Saccharomyces cerevisiae S288C: one gene and its partners. Changing the gene in region 4 together with the main gene of any one other region gives a genetic interaction. Each region holds a gene or a part of one and is shown on either strand. Other genes may lie near its edges. The genes, in order: VPS55, IRS4, ERV2 and LCB5.

What was found.
Region 1: mutations in LCB5 (region 4) and VPS55 together harm fitness more than expected from each alone (negative genetic interaction), as found in Saccharomyces cerevisiae (2 studies listed by BioGRID).
Region 2: mutations in LCB5 (region 4) and IRS4 together harm fitness more than expected from each alone (negative genetic interaction), as found in Saccharomyces cerevisiae (3 studies listed by BioGRID).
Region 3: mutations in LCB5 (region 4) and ERV2 together harm fitness more than expected from each alone (negative genetic interaction), as found in Saccharomyces cerevisiae (2 studies listed by BioGRID).

Annotation. Positions count from the first base shown.
Region 1 is NC_001142.9:517,085-521,140, reverse strand, and holds VPS55 (Vps55p), read left to right. Parts: upstream 1-1,955; coding exon 1,956-2,378; downstream 2,379-4,056. Other genes in the region: Hsp70 family ATPase SSC1, read left to right, coding at 1-1,503; DNA polymerase delta subunit POL32, read left to right, coding at 3,628-4,056. UniProt on the Saccharomyces cerevisiae protein: Involved in protein transport from endosomes to the vacuole.
Region 2 is NC_001143.9:473,893-482,377, reverse strand, and holds IRS4 (Irs4p), read left to right. Parts: upstream 1-4,314; coding exon 4,315-6,162; downstream 6,163-8,485. Other genes in the region: NTR2 (Ntr2p), read left to right, coding at 1-207; ALY1 (Aly1p), read right to left, coding at 397-3,144; VPS51 (Vps51p), read right to left, coding at 3,546-4,040; YKR018C (uncharacterized protein), read left to right, coding at 6,478-8,485. UniProt on the Saccharomyces cerevisiae protein: With TAX4, acts as a positive regulator of INP51 activity and phosphatidylinositol 4,5-bisphosphate turnover. Negatively regulates signaling through the cell integrity pathway, including the MAP kinase SLT2. Also seems to be involved in rDNA silencing.
Region 3 is NC_001148.4:645,448-648,742, reverse strand, and holds ERV2 (flavin-linked sulfhydryl oxidase), read left to right. Parts: upstream 1-1,704; coding exon 1,705-2,295; downstream 2,296-3,295. Other genes in the region: TIF5 (translation initiation factor eIF5), read right to left, coding at 1-39; TIP41 (Tip41p), read right to left, coding at 368-1,438; IRC16 (Irc16p), read right to left, coding at 1,548-1,907; SPO24 (Spo24p), read right to left, coding at 2,590-2,793. UniProt on the Saccharomyces cerevisiae protein: FAD-dependent sulfhydryl oxidase that catalyzes disulfide bond formation in the endoplasmic reticulum lumen in parallel to ERO1.
Region 4 is NC_001144.5:663,104-668,407, reverse strand, and holds LCB5 (sphinganine kinase LCB5), read right to left. Parts: upstream 2,565-5,304; coding exon 501-2,564; downstream 1-500. Other genes in the region: Rab family GTPase YPT6, read left to right, coding at 1-164; VPS63 (Vps63p), read left to right, coding at 1-171; chaperone ATPase HSP60, read left to right, coding at 3,406-5,124. UniProt on the Saccharomyces cerevisiae protein: Catalyzes the phosphorylation of the sphingoid long chain bases dihydrosphingosine (DHS or sphinganine) and phytosphingosine (PHS) to form dihydrosphingosine 1-phosphate (DHS-1P) and phytosphingosine 1-phosphate (PHS-1P) respectively.

The DNA of each region.
Region 1 (4,056 bases), on a different chromosome or scaffold from region 4:
GCTGAGGCCTACTTGGGTAAGCCAGTTAAGAATGCTGTTGTCACTGTCCCAGCTTATTTCAACGACTCTCAAAGACAAGCTACTAAAGACGCAGGCCAAATTGTTGGTTTGAACGTTTTACGTGTCGTCAATGAACCAACCGCCGCTGCCTTAGCTTACGGTTTGGAAAAATCCGACTCTAAAGTTGTTGCCGTTTTCGATTTGGGTGGTGGTACTTTCGATATCTCCATCTTAGATATTGACAACGGTGTTTTTGAAGTTAAGTCCACTAACGGTGACACTCATTTGGGTGGTGAAGATTTCGACATCTATTTGTTGAGAGAGATTGTTTCTCGTTTCAAGACCGAAACTGGTATTGATTTGGAAAATGACCGTATGGCTATCCAAAGAATTAGAGAAGCTGCTGAAAAGGCTAAGATTGAGCTATCTTCTACCGTTTCCACTGAAATCAACCTGCCATTTATCACTGCTGATGCCTCAGGTCCAAAGCATATCAACATGAAGTTCTCCAGGGCTCAATTCGAGACTTTGACAGCCCCACTAGTTAAGAGAACTGTCGACCCAGTCAAGAAGGCTTTGAAAGACGCCGGTTTGTCTACTTCAGACATATCTGAAGTCTTATTGGTCGGTGGTATGTCCAGAATGCCTAAGGTTGTCGAAACCGTTAAATCTTTGTTTGGTAAGGACCCATCTAAGGCCGTCAACCCAGATGAAGCTGTTGCCATTGGTGCTGCTGTGCAAGGTGCTGTCTTGTCCGGTGAGGTTACTGACGTCTTATTATTAGATGTTACCCCATTGTCTCTAGGTATCGAAACTTTAGGTGGTGTTTTCACAAGATTGATTCCAAGAAACACTACTATTCCAACAAAGAAATCTCAAATCTTCTCCACTGCCGCTGCTGGTCAAACTTCTGTTGAAATCAGAGTTTTCCAAGGTGAAAGAGAATTGGTTAGAGACAACAAATTGATTGGTAACTTCACTTTAGCCGGTATCCCACCTGCTCCAAAGGGTGTCCCACAAATCGAAGTCACTTTTGACATCGATGCCGATGGTATTATTAACGTTTCTGCTAGAGACAAAGCTACAAACAAAGATTCTTCTATTACTGTTGCCGGTTCTTCTGGTTTGTCCGAAAACGAAATTGAACAAATGGTTAACGACGCTGAAAAATTCAAGTCTCAAGATGAAGCTAGAAAACAAGCCATCGAAACTGCCAACAAGGCTGACCAATTGGCCAACGATACTGAAAACTCCTTGAAAGAATTTGAAGGTAAGGTTGACAAGGCTGAAGCCCAAAAGGTTAGGGATCAAATCACTTCCTTGAAGGAGTTGGTTGCTAGAGTACAAGGTGGCGAAGAGGTTAACGCTGAGGAGTTAAAGACCAAGACCGAAGAATTGCAAACTTCCTCGATGAAATTGTTTGAACAATTATACAAGAACGACTCTAACAACAACAACAACAACAACGGCAACAATGCCGAATCTGGTGAAACTAAGCAGTAAAAAGCAAATTCCTGTTAATAAATTACTACCACAATGTTAAACTAGAAAGAATGACAAAAAACATAATAATAACTAACCAGTATTTTTGTTTCTTTATTTTTTAAGAACATTTATATACATAATATACACGCCCCAAACATATATCGTTTATATAAGTACTGTTTCCTCGCATTAAGCGGGAAAGCCATGTATCTCTTGTAATTAGTTTGATCCTGTTCTATACCCAAATGTACTCCTCAAAATTATTACATTTTATTATGCCTTTTTCTTAGATGGGCTTTCACTCCACTTTACGAAAAACTGAGAAAAAAAGAGTAGGAGAAAAACTAGAAAAGGGGAATCACACACACACACACACACACACACACACACACACACACACGTCTAATATCGGCGCATATTTATCAAATCTAAAAGGCAAAGAATCTTAATACATAAAATCCCAGACGGTTATGATGGAATTCAAAGTGTCACCATTGACAAAGATTATTTCTCTGTCAGGATTCCTCGCATTGGGATTCCTTTTGGTCATACTAAGCTGCGCATTATTCCATAATTACTACCCACTATTCGATATTTTGATCTTTTTGCTTGCCCCAATACCAAACACAATTTTCAATGCAGGAAATAAATATCACACATCTGACTTCATGTCCGATTCATCAAACACTGGCCAAGATCTGGCTCACTTCCTTACAGGAATGCTGGTGACAAGCGGTATAGCACTCCCTGTTGTTTTCTATCATTGCCAATTGATTGGCCATTTGAGTTGTATCATGTGCATGATCGGTGGTCTTATCATATATTCTAGTATTGTTATTTTTAAATGGTTTTTCAAAAAAGATTTCAACGAAGATGATTCCCTTTTTGGTTAATATATAACAATTACTCATCCCCTCAACAGACTAAGCCAACTGGGTGCGTGAACCGTACATTGATATTATATAGTATGATACTCTACTCAAGGTGGGAAATCTGGCGTCGATTTCTCCTTTTTTTTAGAACTACTTAAATATAATAGATTACATAAAATTACTTTCTGTCTTTCTTCCATTTCAAGTTTTCAAACAAAAAATGCCAAGAAATTCGTGTCTTTAGCCTCTAGTTGACAGAATAATGTAGATAGGCAAAGTTGGCTGAATACATCCGTAATTTCGGGATAAGGATTGGCATTGAATCGCCACATGTCTATAATCTTATTTGAATCGATCTATGAGCGGAAACGTTGAGCAATGGTCGTACAACCATTCTGTGCCGCAATATACCTCATGAAAAGAGATGGGATTGCAAACCTTGAGAAATTAGTCTCTAGTAGGATAATGTATTGTACATTTGTTTGATTCCGCAGTTTTTATAGTGGCTTGAGATTTGTATTTCAACTAGATATGTTGAAAATATCCTCGTAGCGAATGTGGACATAGTGATAACAACAATGTCTTTGTCTTCTACACAAAGGTAAAGGTGTATAAAGCTTTACACACAATAAAGACGACACATAACAAATTATGCAACTGCGCTGCTATTGTAGGATAGCGTCCGATATTATCAATTCTTGCTTTTCAGCTTCTATTATATCTGATGACTAGTTCTCAATCTTTACGTCATCTTCCTATGGCATATTTTGTAATGTGCTAGTGACATGAATACTACTATGGATTATAGTAGGATTTCATTCTAACACAGCTCAGTGTGCAAGTTGTTTTTAATTTTACAATATGAATCTTTATTAAGTCTAAAATATTCATAAAAGTTAAGCGCCGTGGCGCAGTGGAAGCGCGCAGGGCTCATAACCCTGATGTCCTCGGATCGAAACCGAGCGGCGCTAAGCTTAATTTTTATATTTTTATCGTTTCACCTTATGAAAATTCTCGATCAGTATGCCTCAATATAGAACACTTCATTAATGGAAGTACCTTAATAAGGTTATACTAACGAATAGGTCTATTTTCCACTACGGTGTAACTTTCCGACGGAAGTAGTAAACGCGTATGAGTTAAACACGCGAAACTCTTAATTTTGAAAAGTACGCAGAAGTTCGTTACATCGCAATCAGATCAGCTCGAAATAATATTTCACATTAACTAACAACCAGAAATAGGCTTTAGTTAACTCAATCGGTAATTAATGGATCAAAAGGCGTCATATTTTATCAATGAGAAGCTCTTCACTGAGGTAAAGCCCGTCCTTTTTACGGATCTAATTCACCACTTGAAGATCGGCCCATCCATGGCCAAGAAATTAATGTTTGACTATTACAAACAGACCACCAATGCCAAATACAACTGCGTAGTGATATGCTGCTACAAAGATCAAACTATTAAAATTATTCATGATCTTTCCAACATTCCACAGCAAGATTCAATAATTGATTGTTTCATCTATGCCTTCAATCCCATGGACAGCTTCATACCATATTACGACATTATCGATCAAAAGGATTGTTTAACCATTAAAAATTCATACGAACTTAAAGTTTCTGAATCATCGAAAATTATAGAGAGGACTAAGACGTTAGAAGAGAAATCTAAACCTTTGGTAAGGCCTACAGCAAGA
Region 2 (8,485 bases), on a different chromosome or scaffold from region 4:
TCGAATGAGAAAATCATCACGCCCTTACCGGTACTTTTCCCAGACGATGATGAAAGTGGGAACAGCATTGAGAGAATAAACGAGATGGTTTCGAAGATCTGCTTGCAAAGGAAGAAGGTTGAGATGAGGTTGCAAGCGTTAGAAAAAACAAAAATTGACTTGGAAAAATCTAAAGCAAGCCTAATAAATAAGCTCATTGGTAACTGAACGTTAATCATGTTATTTTTTTAATCGCTGTACTATTAAAAAGGGATATCTTTACGACAAGTGATATGGATGTATAGATTGATGGTGTATATTTGTATACTATAAAATGTCCAATATATTGTACACTATTGAATCACAGGACACAAAGTAAAATGGTAGCAATTCTGTCGGAGAATGAAAATAATGTACTTATTTTCTCTTTTCGCGAAATGCTTTCTTAAAGTCGTCCAGTACACGGTTTTCACTAGCAACGTTAACCGAGTAGGCTGCTGGGTCAACATGGTTCTTGCTTACCTCCCAATCAAATTTGGAATCTGATGACATTCTTGGATCATAAAATGCTGTAATATCGACTGAAGAATCCACTGTATCTTCTGGATTATCAACTCTGTTATTACTATTGCTGTTTGATTGTATGACGTTATCATTAATTTTAAGTATTGGTAGTTTCTTATTGAAATTTAATGATTGGCTTTTGGGAAAGGCATCTTCGTCACTACTGCCTAGCATCTGGTTTATGTCATTGAAATGCTGATTGTTCTGTCTTATTGTACTAGGTAACACTGATGTTGCGTGTAGACTGGCACGATTTTTTTTTCTCCCATCAAGACTCATGTTTAAAGACTGCAAAATAGGAGTGTGTGAATTAACGTTCTCACTCGGAGCACTGGTTGACAGCTTGAAGTTGAAACCAGATGCTATATCGCCATCATTGTCATCTTCGTCGGATAAGTCATCAATTTGAGACCAACCATTGAATGAGTCCTCCTCAATGCTGGCCAATGTCTCTCTAGATTTGTTTAGTTTTAGTTCAGGAATTTTAGATGAACTTGTATCGTAGTATGGCAATTCAATCCCATCGGCCTTTAATACATCAAAATATGATGGAGGATCCACAGGAATAGCATGAGAATCGGCTGCGCCGCGCTTAGCTAGATCAAAATCAAAATCTGGAGGCGGGGAGTTTGATAATGGTTGGTAATTGAGAATTGGTGAGGTGATGGGCGATAATGGTAACGCCTGAGGAGAAGTTAATTCTCTTGGAATCTGATTGGGCTTATAAATGTTTGCGACCAGCTGTTTGGATGCGAAGACATTGCTACTTTGATCATTCTTCTTGGAGGTATTATCTGACTTGCTTTTCTTTACGCTTTCAGCTCTATTACGCACTACTGGAAGATCAGACGGTATTCTAATGTTCATCTTCTGCACGTTAGGTGAAAGAACGGGAGACGAAAGAACTTCTTTTGGGAAGAAAATATTGGAATCATGATGACTTGCGTAATTTTGTTGATCTGCTGCTGGTGCGAAATTACCATCTTCATCACAATACTGGAAATGACTCTCGTAGCTCGGTAGCAAAGTATTCGCGTGTGAGCATAGTTGATTTAAAATATGGATTGGAGAATCAATACTTATTTCGAAATGTTTTCTATTGTCCCCGTACTTCTTGGAAAGACGAAGGCAAATTTTTATCCAATGGTGGGCTTTGATTTTATCATAATTTGTATCAGGGTGTAACCGTATACTGTTTGTAAACTTGCTTGGGACAAACACCTCGAACTGAAAATCTTTGTTAACTAGATCGCCGGATTTTTCATCCAAGAGGATGTTCCCTCTATTTTTAGCCTTCAAAGGATTCGAACCAGCTGGTATATGAGGCAGTTTAGGACCGTTATGTTCAGCCAACAGAAACTTTTTAGTTGGCTCTAATCTACGAGCCTTCTCGTGATTTCCATTACTATTACAAGTGTATTCCATAGACTCTGTTAGATAAATTCTAATACGATGCAGAGTAACTTTATCTAGAGGAGCGAAATGGAAATCGATGGGTAAAAATGCATTCAAAACGATCTCTTTCGAGAAAATTACCACGTCATAATGAAGAAGATCTTTCCAGTCCTTGGAAATTGCAATAGCTTCAGTCTCTTCTACGGATCCATCAGAAGGAAGCCTTACGACTTTGATGGGTAATTGAGTATGTATAGTTGATTTGAATGCGCCAAACCTCTCTATGTCTATTGACAGTTTATACTCCACGGAACCAAAATTGGCTTTTATACTTTCTGGATAAGATTGCGATATTGGCTGTTCAAAAGTGTAAATATAATCGCCCGGTCGAAAAATAAAAACTTCTTTAGAATCTTTGGATGGTGTAAGATAGTTATCCTCTTGCTCAGGACTTGGAGTAGCGCCACTATTACTGAATGTTTTTGTAAACAAATCAGATATGAAGGTATGAGGTGACAAAGAGTTACCGTGAAAATTTGCCGGTACCGATCCTCTTCGACTAGATGATGGTAATGGTGTCTTTTGAATAGCCAACAGTTTACTGTCGTCATGGGAAACATCACTTGATACTGGCTTGTTACTCAAATTATCGGATGACAATGAGTTGCGCTCATAGGCATCCAGACTTAGATTGCTATTATCTTTAGGGGGTTCAGCGGTTGGTGGGATATATACTGAAGCACCGCTTTTTTCAAGTAGATAATCTTCATCGCTCATAGATGGGCGATTGGACGAATTATTTGAGCTGTGATGTTCTAAGGTGAAAGAATTCATGCCGTCATCCGCCTGATAAAATGGCCATGTGTGATTGACAACAGTTTCAACATCTGAAAATTCTTCTCTCTTCGGTGGTATACCTTCCGGCCACTCTGTTCTGGATATTCCTTTGAAGGTTATCGATATACTTTTTAATTTATTCGGTTTCAACACCCTGACGATAAGAGATCCTCGTAAGATACTGGGGGCTATTTCAGACAGTCCGTTAGTTTCAAATCCTTTTAAAAACACTATGGGTTCGGCAAGCTTTACAAAGACTTGTAGTGTTGTTGTCTGCACCAGTGGGACGGCATCAGGTGCTGCATTTATATCTTGCTCCATGGGAAACACTGGAGCTACAGTATCATTTTCTGTATTGAATTGGAGCATGTAGTCATAGAGGAACAAGCAATATTCTATGGGATTCCAGCGTATTTGTGCGGAATGGAACTTTCTGTTGGTTGTCTTTCTTGTTGCTTGTCTCTTATTTCAACGAGTTGTTCCCATTTTTGATAAGATGGGGATAGCGAAATAAGACAAAAGAGTCAATATTTGGCAATTCGCTCAAAGAGGTAAAAAGACGGCGCTATTATATATCTGCGTATATATACTACAAACAGCCGGGAATACATTTGGCAAAGTCCTCGTACGACAATAGGGCAATTGCTAGTAGTGTTAAGCAGTTTTTCAGGTGAACTTGCAAACCGAAAAAGAGGAAAAATTGGTTCACATAGTAAAATGCACTCTCTCGAAGGAAGTGTTCGGTGAAAGCCACGATATGCCGCTGGAAATTACAGTTCCTTGATTAAAGATTCTACTGTTTGCTTCAACTTGTTAATTTGGTCTTCATTGGCGTTTGTAATTTCTTTGAGAAGGTCGTTGACTTTTATTAGGTCATAATAGTTTTCGTAAATGGTATTCTTGATAGAATTGTTAGTCTCGGTTTCTTTGCCCAAGAGCTTATTGTGAATTTGTACTAGCCTCTTAAAGGGCAGGTTCTTTATCTCTTCTTCTGCATCTTCTGACCCCTCCTTGAGATCCTCTTCAGTTGCACTCAATTCGTCATCTTTCACTGGTTTCTCAGTGTTTGCTTCGGTATCTATATTCACATCTGTGACTTGCTCCTCCCCAGAATGAGCCTCGCTGGCTTTTTCCCCTATACGTGCTTCTTGACGACCTTTATTCGGTTCATTTTCCAAGTTGTAGAATTCTCTTAAGAGCAATCTTCTATCTTTGTTCAGACTGCTCACCCTCAGGGACTTTTTGTGACTAATTTGTTCTGCCATCTGTACTTAATATCCTCGTCAGATTCCGTCTCACCGCAAATACGCCTCTTCTATGCAGAGCCTCACCTATACGTACAACTTACTGCCTCTTGTTTCCACGCAGCGAAAATTCGATGATTTCTCGTATAAAGCATATCGAAGTTGAATCATCACAAAAAGGCCCATTGTGTAATGGACCCTTGCCACAACAACACTCTCGTTGCACAGGTAGAACATACTTTTAAGGCCTGGGTAGATTCATTTTTTTGACATAGGAAAAGATTAGCAGAGGAGTATGAGACTTTCGTTTGGTAAACAGCGTTATCATGGCGGTACAACAGTAACTTTGACTGAACAAGGAGCTTCAGATTCCCTTCGCGCTGCGCAAGCTATCTTCCAGAACCATTCCAATGAGGTCAGCAGTCCATGCCCTCCAGTAACGGTGAGCAGGAATCCTCAAACTAGGTTATCAGAGCCATCGCTACAAAAGTCAGGGCGGAAACAAGAACAAAAGAAGGCACGCATACGAACAAAACAGGTACCTAAGATTAAAACAACGGCGCCTAATGATGTTGAGTTGTCTAAGAAACACAGGTCAAGCCCTGCAGGTAAAGATAATGTTAGTAGTACTGCTCAAATGGCAGCTGCTTTAGCGCATTCACAATCGAAACTTAGTTCTGACAATAACTCCTCCCATTCTTCGGCATTGGATACACTAAAAGTTCTAGAAACTCCGAACTTGAATGGCTTGCTGGGCATTCATTCACGCTCAAGCTCAAGAAACGGCTCCAATGAATCACTGACGCCTGGCCAAAGAACTCCCGACAATAGATCTCAAGAGAATTTACTTACTTCCTTTAGTAGCGGTAGAAGGCTATCCTCGAGCTCTATGGAGCCTGCAACTAATAAAGACAGCAACAAAGCTCTGCCCAAACGCAGGCCGTCTCCTCCCTTGCAATCATCACTTGTCGGCAGTGGTCAGCTTCATGAAAATGAAAACCTATCATCAATTAGCATCGATTCCAGACATAGTCTCAATCCGGACACTTCAGACGTTATTTCTAATAGGTCACAAACAAGTCTATCTCAAACAATTAATCAACTCTCGTTATGTGAATCAGAGCCATCTATTGCAAGCTCAAACACTACTACTACAACGAGCAACCAGGGAAGTGGTTTGCCCAACTTGGTTCCGAACTATTCATCCGATATGAGGAAGAAGAAGCTTGTTAACAAGTTCAAAAGGAAAGTATTTGGTAGTAAGCCCAAGCACTTATCTTCACAATATGAAATGGATGCAAGCAGCGAAGAACTGGGACAACATGAACAACAACCGAGTATGAGATTTAAAACAACATTACGTAAAACCTCTGTAAGTACAAACGCAGAAAATGATCATGCATCCTCTCTACATGAGGGAAATCTGAGGTATAAGTACAATCCGTCCAACGACACGTATGATGTGTATGACGATACTGATTCTGATTCTGAATCTGATCAGAACCAGGACGCCTTGACCAAGCCACGCAAAAGAGATAGAATTAAGAGAAAGATCAGGAATTCTGCCAATAAAACTGCACATCATAGGCCTATCCACCGCACGAGAGATCGGAAATTCAATGAGGATAAACCCTGGAAATCACATACAGATATAACTTTCGTAACAGACAACGAAAGGAAGCGTTACGAAAGCATGTGGGTAAGCAACAGACACCGTCATTTGAACCTGTTGAGCTGGTGGCCCTCTATAACGGGTGATTCCGGAGCAATTAATACTTTACCCGAAGATGGATTGATATTGGGTATCATAGTCCGTGATATCTGGAAGCGGTCTAACTTGCCCAATAGTCTATTGGCAGAAATTTACACGAAGGTAGACACAAGAAAAGATGGTACTTTAGATAGGAAATCTTTTATTGTGGGTATGTGGCTGGTCGATCAGTGCCTGTATGGCAGAAAACTTCCCAATGTTGTCGAGCAATGCGTTTGGGATAGCGTAGATAGATATGCTTCCACCACGGTTGTGCCAGTGAGTACGCTAAAGGCGATGGCCAAACAAAAGAGAAAACAGATGAAAGAAGAAATCAAGAATATCAAGAAGGAAAACCGTGTAGTTCTTGTAGACCACAATAGCTCGTCGTGACGAGTGTGACTCGCACCACTTCGTAGGTAGACATATACAGAAGTATATATATATAATGCGTAATTCCCCCACTTGTTACTGTTAAGCTAATCGAATTGTCATCTCAGAAATCTTGTTCGAGATAAGGCCAATCTTACTAAAAAAATGTCTATTAGTCTTCTCTGTTATTATTATTCCCGGCTTTTTGCTTTCTTTCCTTTTTTCCAAGGAAGGGGGCAAATTCGATCAACTAAAAAAGAGGCATCGTTTATTCGGATGCCACCACTGAGACGATCCACAGGCTAATTGTGACTAGTGGATCACAGAACAACCAAAATGTTTAAAGTGTTTGGTTTTGGTGCGAAGGAAGAGATTCCTGAGCTTTCACAGGAAGAAAAAACTAAAGCCATTCTAAAACAAGCTCATGATTTCGAACAGGCACTGCGTGCGATGGACTATGTCTTAGATGATAATGCTGACGAGGGTTTGGCTTTGCTGGATGAGAGTGATGCTAAAGAAGCTTCCGACCAAACTATAAATGCGTTAGCTCGTGGTGTCATTGAATTTTTGGAGGCCACTTTAGGTTTTGAAGCTGAAGAGATGAAAAAAGCTTCTGCGACTTTGGCCAAGGCAGAAGCTTTATCTTTGAAAAGTAGAGAGAGGGCTCAAAAAATTGGATTGAAGAGCAGTTCTTTATATCCTCCAGGAACAGTTTATGCCGTGACTTATACAGAATCATGCCTTCTACATGCCCTATTGATGATTTTCAGTGAAAGTATGATGGAGGCGGCCAAGGCCATTTTAAAGCTCAGAAAGTCGTACTATATGTTACAAGAAATCTTGGAAACTATTAAAGCTGCTAACAAAGCCAAGAAATTGAAAATTACGTCAGGCAGTGAAGATAAGGAGTCCACCCCAGCGACTTTCATAACTGGTGGCGATGCGTTCAATTCCGTTGATATACCTTATGAACTGACTCCTGAAGAACAAAAGGATAAGGATCTTTTACAATTTGCTGAACAAATTCATAGCATGAGGACTGAAAGATTATCTGGCGCCCACATTGGCAACTCTCCTGCAATTAACAGGTTGAGAGGTGAGCTAGGACTACAAGCAATGGAAGACTTGCCAGAAGAGGAAATAACAGATCATAAAGTTCTTTCGGATGATATAGATTTAAGTCAAGCAACAATTGATGAGTTTGTCCATTCTGGTGTCAATTTATGCTTTGGTATTTTACAGGTTGTGATATCACTATTACCACCCGCTATTGGCGCGGTCCTATCTGTGGTTGGATTCAGGGGTTCCAGAGAAGAAGGTTTGAGACTTGTTTGGAAAGCCACAAAGCAAAGAAACGTGCATGGTTGTATTGGTTTGTTAGCCCTGATGTTTTACTATGATGGACCTTTCCAATTCACTGACGATGATTTTGATATTCCTGCAGCAGTTAAGGATTCCAGTAACAGTGAAGATTCTGAAGATGAAGAGATGGATGGCCCTACGTTGTTGCATCCTGGGAAAATACTGGAAGATGCGTTGCTGCAATCAAGAGCGCTATTTCCCAATAGTGCGCTATGGTTATTGAATGAGGCAAGGATGCTATCTGGTAAAGGGCGTTTAGAGGAAGCAGTCGCATTGATGGATTCGATTGATGTTAGCAAGATACGGATGAGACAGGTCAAATCCTTGATGATTTTTGACCGTGCTATAACATTGATCCATTTGCATCAATACGATAGAGCTGCAGAAGATATTTTATCGCTATTAGACATCAGTGATTGGTCACACGCTTTTTACACATATTTTGCTGGCTGCTGTTATTTAGAAAATTGGAGAATGTGCGAAATGGGATTAATGAAGTCAGACAAAAAGGATGAATACCAAAAGAAGGCCGAAGAACTTATCTTCACCTCTGTGAATTTGCTAGGTAAGAAAACCTTCAAATCGAAGAACCTGCCATTAGATAGGTTTATTCTGAGAAAAGTTGAGCAATTTAAAGCGAAAAAGGAGGAACTTGGGGTGGAAAATCCTCTGGATGGTATCGCTACTTCACCAGTACACGAAATTGCGTACTTCTACAATGGTTATAATAGAATGTCTGAAGAGCATTTGGAGCTAACAAAGAAAATGCTAACTGAGTATAGAAATCCCGCCATTGAAGCTTTAGACTCAGATCAGGAGTTAATCAAAGATCTCTTGGTCTCTTTGACATTAAGAAGATTAGGTCATATCCAAGAAGGTTGTGATATATTGGATGAAAAGGTTCTACCTAAGTTTTTCTCCATTCAAAATGGCAAGGTCAAATATATAAAGAAAACTGAAGATCCATGGGCCTATCCGACTG
Region 3 (3,295 bases), on a different chromosome or scaffold from region 4:
AAATGGATCATGATTATCTCTACAAATATTAATAGACATCTTGTACCAGTGAACGTGTGTTTATGCAAATAATAGGAGTTTTTTTTTTTGGAAAAAAAAGAAGAACACACGAGATACTCTTTAATGTAGTGGTGTCTTTGTAAGTCAGCAAAGTGGGAAGGAGGGGTAGGCGTTTGCCACTAATTAAATGCTAAAAGTTCATCTATTTTCTTTTTTTTTTTTCGTTCATACTTCGCGATGAAAATTTTTCACTATTTACAGAACGGGTAAGAGCATGATTTTAAGATCATTTCTTGTATGATGTATCCGGAGCTTATGTATATGTGACGTGTATGTATTTGTACGTATTGTTTTGTATATTTGATTGTTAGAACTGAATTATTTCACATTGTCTTTTGATCATCGGCGTGTTCTGTGCTACCCAATTACTATCTCTCAAGGCAGCTTTTGGGTCGTGAGATTGGGATAGCCGGTGCTTAGCAAGTACATCCTGATATTTACCTTCAAATTCCTTGGATTCTCTGATCACTACGTTTTCGTCAAACTCCACGTAAATCCTGGTGTCGTAGACCCTCACCAGAACATCGTCCACCCTTAAAAAGAACCGGCTCAGCAGCAGTAACCTTTCGTTCATAACTCTTATTTTGACGTTAAGGATTGATATGCCATTGTCTGCCAATTCGTCTTCGAAAAGAATCATGTCGTCATAGAATAGGATTTTATCGTGTACGGCCAGTTTGTCAAGGGGCAGCTTTTGATCGTTATCCAGTCGGAATTTCGACTCAGGTGAGCTCTCTGTGCCCTTATACCGCGTAGTGTAGGTCCAGTCGTACTTGTGTATGATATTTAAGGAATCGTCGTTCACATCGTTAGTGAACCGTTGCGCACCATTAGTTGAATTTTGTCTTTTTTTAGAATTTATCCAGTCGTTTGAGTACGCAACACGAATACCTGAATCCTGGAGTTGAACCTCCTTTAAAGCATCCAGGGCATTGAACTCTATGGACCAATGCTGTTTTGAATTTTCGATCCTGATGTAGTTGTTACCAAAAATCATCTCTGGCAAAGTCAAACCTTTGAGTTTTTCGTTTTCCCAGATGTCTAATTCCTGCGAGTTCAAAATGGGCTTCTTTCTGGAGGAGATGGTCCAGTCGTTGATGGAGATGGAGGGGTTGTCCTCCAAGGGTAACGTGGCCCTTGGAGATGGAATGATAACAGACCCACAGTGGAGACACTGCGGATTGTTTGGGTTATTGCAAATATGTCGAGGTGGTGTTGCTGGGGCTGCAGTTGGTTGCACAGAGGGTGTAGTGATGCCGCTAGTTGGCATGGGCATTCTTCGAGCGCGCACCGTTTGAGCGTGCATTTCTCTAGCAGCATTTATTTGAATAGTGTTTATCCCTGATGATCTGAGCGGTGGAGTGTTTCTTTTGGACATTTTTTCTGGGGAGCTGTTGTGTCTAAAGCTGCCCTTAGGTCATGTATATGGGGTGCGTAAGTATGGTGATGCATTTTGTTATTATATATTACAAGATGGAAGAGAAAGGTTAACCACCGGGTAAACGAAGCGGGAAAAGGAACCAAAAATAAAGGACAAAAGGCTTTATCATTAAACAATAAACGTGGGTGATGAAGACAAGAAGACGGGAAGGCTGGTGATTTGTAAAGAGGAAAGTCTGGACAGATTGTGCAAGGAACGAAGGGATGAAACAGATAGTCAAAAGAAGCCATGCCATCAGAATAGTTGCAGCATTAGGAATCATAGGCCTGTGGATGTTTTTCTCGTCTAATGAACTATCCATCGCTACGCCGGGCCTAATCAAGGCGAAGTCTGGTATAGATGAAGTGCAAGGGGCGGCTGCTGAGAAGAACGACGCTCGGTTGAAAGAGATCGAGAAGCAAACCATTATGCCATTGATGGGCGATGACAAGGTGAAGAAGGAAGTGGGCAGGGCGTCGTGGAAGTACTTCCATACCCTGCTGGCCCGTTTTCCGGACGAGCCTACTCCTGAAGAAAGAGAGAAACTGCACACGTTTATTGGGTTGTATGCAGAACTCTATCCATGCGGGGAATGTTCATATCACTTTGTAAAGTTGATTGAGAAGTATCCCGTACAGACATCTAGCAGGACGGCTGCCGCAATGTGGGGATGCCACATTCACAACAAGGTGAACGAATACCTAAAGAAAGACATATATGACTGTGCTACCATCCTGGAGGACTACGATTGTGGATGTAGTGACAGCGACGGTAAACGCGTGTCTCTCGAGAAGGAGGCTAAACAGCACGGTTGAACAAAGAAAGATTACATTAATCAATTATAGTAATAGTAAATTTTTTATTATTTTATATTTTAAATTTTTTTACTTTCTCAGTATTTATATTACATAAATATGTATATATCAAAAAGTTTCTGTCGTAGAAGAGACCCGATCCGAGGTTATTGAATGTAAGTGCGGGAAAGTGCAGATAGAATGACAATGAATGCTCCGGAAAAAAAAAAAAAAGTACGTGACTTACTTGCCCAAGTAAGTAAAGATGCCAAGTGTCTTTTATGCTAATAGTGTGCTAATTCTCGTGTACAACACTTACAACAGAGACAAAGAGTTTTTTCTGGAGTGTGAGCGGCTTGAAGCAGAGGCATCCAAAAGAGCGGCATTGGCAATAGCCAGATTCAGGTCATCGACGTTTGCGTCAGAGTTCTTTCTTGAGCTTGGCTGAGAGACTGGCGAAAGAGATGGGATGACAAAAGGTTGAGAAACGTCAGAAGTTAGTTCTAAAAAGGCGACCATTGTTGAAATTTTTGTTTTTTGTGTTATTTGTGTGAGTTGTCAGTAAAGCTGTTTTGTAGTTGCTTGTTTGATGATGATTTTTTATATTTTACAAGGACTAGAGGAAACAATTGTGAGAGTTGAGCTATTGGAGAAATCTAGAGACCTTATATATGTGTCTGTTCTTCATGCTAATTGAGCCCCCTCTAAAGTTCTCTTACGTTATAGAGCGTCATGACAACGATTGATCACGCAGATGACTAACCGCCAGTCACAGCGCATATTAGCGCGCAAATGAAAAGAATGACCGACCCGCCGCGGAATCGATCTCGGATTTGCGCGGGGACAGCCACACCCACCTTCCGCGGACCTGCGGAGGGTGGTTTTCGGCAGGCGGTTCCCGGACACCAGGAAAGGGGCGCCCATTAATACCCGACTTCGGCGGCCACCGAAGGCTCAGGGGCGGGGAGGAGGCGTCATGAAAAAGCATGATTCACTGCATTACCAATCACGCACGCACGCA
Region 4 (5,304 bases):
TCAAAGCTTTATTCAAAAAGATTGCCAAATCGCTGCCTGAATTTCAAAACAGCGAGTCAACTCCTTTGGATAGCGAAAATGCAAATAGTGCAAACCAAAATAAACCGGGAGTCATTGATATTTCTACAGCAGAGGAGCAGGAACAAAGCGCTTGTCAGTGTTAGCACCTAATATTTCAGTTCTATAGGGCATAAGGAGAACTCTTTGTGTGCGTCATATTTTTTAGTGAACTACCAGCACATAATAATTGTACTGATAATATTAATAATAATCATAATCATAATGTACTTGACGATCTGATGTGTAGGAGCTAGTACTCACTAAACATGGTTGTATTAAAGAATGGTATTAAAACTTTTTATAAAGAAGTATGGAGTGTATAAAGTTATCAAACAACAACAAAAACAACAACAACGTAAAAAAAATATAGAAGAAATAGAAATGACATATTCTAGTTTTTGATTAATTGTTCAGTACGAAGGAAAAGATTAAGTAAAGTGTCACATAGAATCGAAATCTGTGTCCACATAACGGCCATTTCTCAGTAACGTCTTGCATAAGCGTGGCATAATTTCGACTTGAAGGGGCTCTAGAGGAAATTTCTCGCCATCGACAGAGAACAAGCCGTTCCCTAGCTTTGGTATTATCTTGTATGCCAAAATTTTAGAGTGTAAGACTTCCGGTTGTAAAACATGGGAACCCTTATCTAGTCCCAGCAGGATTGGTGCCATCCTCGTCAACGAGGTTCTTGCATCGGTGATAACCATATCCATTGTACCATCTGAAGGAAGCGCTGCCGGAAAGAATTTAGTGTCAGCAGCCACATATGGCATTTTACCCGTATAGAAGATACCTAGGTTGTTCGAAATATTAGGATCCAATCTTTCCCAGTCACTAGGGATACCTTCATCTAATGGATATTTTATTTTGAAATCTTCCTCTTTAATTTGATCAGCACTAGAATCTGCCAGATCACGAGATATCAAGTGGGAGTCTTCGTCATCCGCATCCGCATCTTCATCTTCATCTTCGTTTTCGGTTTCGTATTCATTTTCGTAATTGTAATTATCACAATCCTCGTTATCTTTGTTCATAGTAATATGCTGGAATTCTAACGACCCTTTATTTTTGTGTTCCAGGTAATGATTTTTTAACTCGTTTTTTGATTTGGCAGCATACTTTACATATATCTCACAAGGATATTTTTTTTTTTGTATGATATTGAAGGCTACACCCAATTCAAACCTTGCAGGTCCCATCCATCTAATAAATTCAGTGTTTATGTCAGTTTCTGCAATGAGACCATATGTTTGACTTAAAAATGATAACTTTGGGTGCTCTCTTGCATAAGAAGGCTGCGAACAACACATCAAATCAATTCTAGTCTCTATCGATTTAATTAAGCATAAAGTTGAGTACGAAGGATTGTTTGTCCAGTGGCAGGATACGCTCATTGCGTTACCTGATCCGCATGGAATTTCTGTAATGGCGATATTGTTGAATGCTTTGACATGATCAGGCCTTTGGTATAACCCATTGATCACCTCATGAGGAATGCCATCTCCCGAAGCGCAAGCAATAGTGTCATATTTGTCAATATCCATTTCCCGCGCGATCTCTATAGCATGACCAGGGTATTTTGTATAAACCACTTCTATGGAACACCGACTTGCTAATAGTAACGGCTTTGCCTTTGTCATAAACAGTTTTTTCGCCTTACCTTTACCACCAAACGGATTAATGATCACAAATATGGATTTGTTCCTTCTAGTGTTTTTGTAGCTTCTCTTTAAAATCTCCTCAACCAAGTCATCTTCTTCTTTTAAGTGAGAAGATGAATGGGGTTTATAGTCAATATACAATGAAACCCTTTTGGGTACAACGTCATGCCGTCTTGGCCTAGCAAATATAACCTCTACTAGTTTCGTAAAAGGAGATCTGGAAGTCAGGAGGCTACTACTACTGTTACTTCCTCGCGATAGCGAGTTGCCCTTCCTTTCTTTTTTTTGGGAAGACTCTAATTCATCAAGATCACACTTTTCACTAATGTTACTCATTGAGCTGCTTAAAGGTGAACTGGGTGATGAATTGGCATCATAATAATGCAGAGGTTCCTTTTCAATGTATCTGGCATCCAGAATTCGTCCATAGGGGATAACGGTGTTTGCTGGCAATTGACCATTCACCGAAGGATAATGAAGTTTTGGATTAGCAGAAAGATCATCTTTACTTGTATCCGTTGTCGATGTTTCCGATCTGTCTATTGTATCAGTATCGCTTAAACAGGTAACACAGCTAATTAGTGAAGCCGTTTCAAATATACTGTTGTTATCACTGTTGCTTTGAAAGCTAGTTCTACTGATGTTGCTTTGAAAGCTAGTTCTACTGATGTTGTCAATGCTGCTGCGACTTCGTTTATCTGCCATTCTATTTGCGTATGTGTAAGGACTTGATGGTTTTGCCTTGATCATTATTCCTTCCTCAGTCAGTATCGCTGACGTTATTTGCTTCTTCCTGGAATGGCGAGACCTGCCCTTACGTCTCTTTGAAGGTTTCAAAGTCATCTCTTTTGGCTTACTGTTTAAATCTTACACTATTTGTGGTTTTTTCGAGATAATATCAAGAGTCCTTTTACTCTTCTTTTCTTTCCTATTTTGCAACACGTATATACAACAGTTTATGCTGTAGTTATACTTTTTTGATTGTTTTTGTATAAATAGATTCGGCTCACGCAGCTTACGTTCCCTTTCTTCTTCGCCTGCGAAGGCTTTAACAAGGCCCGAAAACACCTTGATTTGCAAATCTAACTATGAATCTTGCAGAAAAGCGGTGGCAACTGAAAGGGAAAAAAACATAGATTAAAAGAAAGCAACATAGTAACATAAAGGAAGAGAAAATTTTGATGATAAAGAAGATGAATAATATACCTAATGCATCCAAATGTTCCTCCTGTTATACTATTGGGAATTATTGCGAGTGCATCCATTCGCGCAATGATCAAGTAGAACGCCAAGACTAGTTGTGCAAAGAAGTACAGTTGAAATTCCAGCCAGTTATGTCTCATCCCTATTCCACTGTTTTTGTAGGTATACAATGGTGTTACGAGCAATTGAAGCTGTTTATTGCCTGGTATTACCTCTGGAAACTTACTTTATAGCCGCCCATCTGTATATGTCATCATATACGGACCTCGTGGAATTTTCCAGAAAACCAAATGGGGAGGGTGACTTTAATTTTGCTTCGTTTTGCCCGGAGCAGAATCCAGACGGACATTCATGTATATATATTGAAGGAGACTAAGTTTTACATTCATTATGTAAGGTCGTGGTTGCGTCTTCATGCACTTCCTTGAATAATATAAGAAAATTCCCACGAGAAAACATCATAAGCAAAAAAGTTTTCAAAATGTTGAGATCATCCGTTGTTCGTAGTCGCGCTACTTTAAGGCCTTTATTGCGTCGTGCTTACTCCTCTCATAAAGAATTGAAATTCGGTGTAGAAGGAAGAGCCTCCCTTCTTAAGGGTGTCGAAACTTTAGCTGAAGCGGTTGCTGCTACTTTGGGTCCAAAGGGTAGAAACGTTTTAATCGAACAGCCTTTCGGTCCTCCAAAGATTACTAAGGATGGTGTTACAGTTGCCAAATCTATTGTGTTGAAGGACAAGTTTGAAAATATGGGTGCCAAGTTACTACAAGAAGTTGCCTCCAAAACCAATGAGGCTGCTGGTGACGGTACTACTTCTGCTACTGTCTTAGGTAGAGCCATCTTCACAGAATCCGTCAAAAATGTCGCCGCTGGTTGTAACCCTATGGATTTGAGAAGGGGTTCTCAAGTTGCAGTTGAAAAAGTGATTGAATTTTTGAGCGCCAACAAGAAAGAAATTACCACATCTGAGGAAATTGCTCAAGTAGCAACCATTTCTGCCAATGGGGACTCTCATGTTGGTAAGTTACTAGCTTCAGCTATGGAAAAGGTTGGAAAAGAAGGTGTCATCACTATCAGAGAAGGTAGAACATTGGAAGATGAACTTGAGGTTACTGAAGGTATGAGGTTTGATCGTGGTTTTATTTCTCCATACTTCATCACTGATCCAAAGTCGAGCAAGGTGGAATTTGAAAAGCCATTGCTATTGTTGAGTGAAAAGAAAATTTCTTCCATTCAAGATATCTTGCCAGCTTTGGAAATTTCCAATCAAAGCAGAAGACCTTTGTTGATCATTGCTGAAGATGTTGACGGTGAAGCTCTTGCGGCTTGTATTTTGAACAAGTTGAGGGGTCAAGTTAAGGTTTGTGCTGTGAAGGCGCCTGGTTTCGGTGATAATAGAAAGAATACAATTGGTGATATTGCAGTCTTGACGGGCGGTACTGTTTTTACTGAGGAGTTGGATTTGAAACCAGAACAATGTACCATAGAAAACTTGGGTTCTTGTGACTCTATTACCGTTACTAAGGAAGACACCGTTATCCTGAACGGTAGTGGTCCAAAGGAAGCTATTCAAGAGAGAATTGAACAAATCAAAGGCTCCATCGACATTACCACCACAAATTCATATGAGAAGGAGAAACTGCAAGAGCGTTTGGCCAAATTGTCCGGGGGTGTTGCTGTCATCAGGGTCGGTGGTGCATCTGAAGTTGAAGTTGGTGAAAAGAAGGACCGTTACGATGATGCTTTGAACGCTACCAGAGCTGCAGTTGAGGAAGGTATCTTGCCAGGTGGTGGTACTGCCTTAGTGAAGGCATCTAGAGTTTTGGATGAAGTTGTTGTCGACAATTTCGATCAAAAATTGGGTGTCGATATCATAAGAAAGGCCATTACAAGACCAGCCAAGCAGATCATTGAAAACGCTGGTGAAGAAGGTTCAGTTATCATCGGCAAATTGATTGATGAATATGGTGATGATTTTGCCAAGGGTTACGATGCCTCTAAGTCAGAATACACCGACATGTTAGCCACTGGTATCATCGATCCATTTAAAGTGGTTAGATCCGGTTTAGTTGATGCTTCTGGTGTTGCCTCACTATTAGCTACTACCGAAGTTGCTATTGTTGATGCCCCAGAACCACCAGCAGCTGCTGGCGCTGGTGGTATGCCAGGTGGTATGCCAGGAATGCCAGGTATGATGTAACGACCGCCTTAATTCAAAATTTATCTTTCGTTTAAATATGGTAATAATTTTATTATCTTGTAAATACAATGTGAAAAAAGTTGAGATTTTTAGGAATCACTTTTTCAAGTATAAAGAACTATATATGACTATGAGCTATTATATCTTTAAGTATGACTATATGTTGATAACTGAACAAAG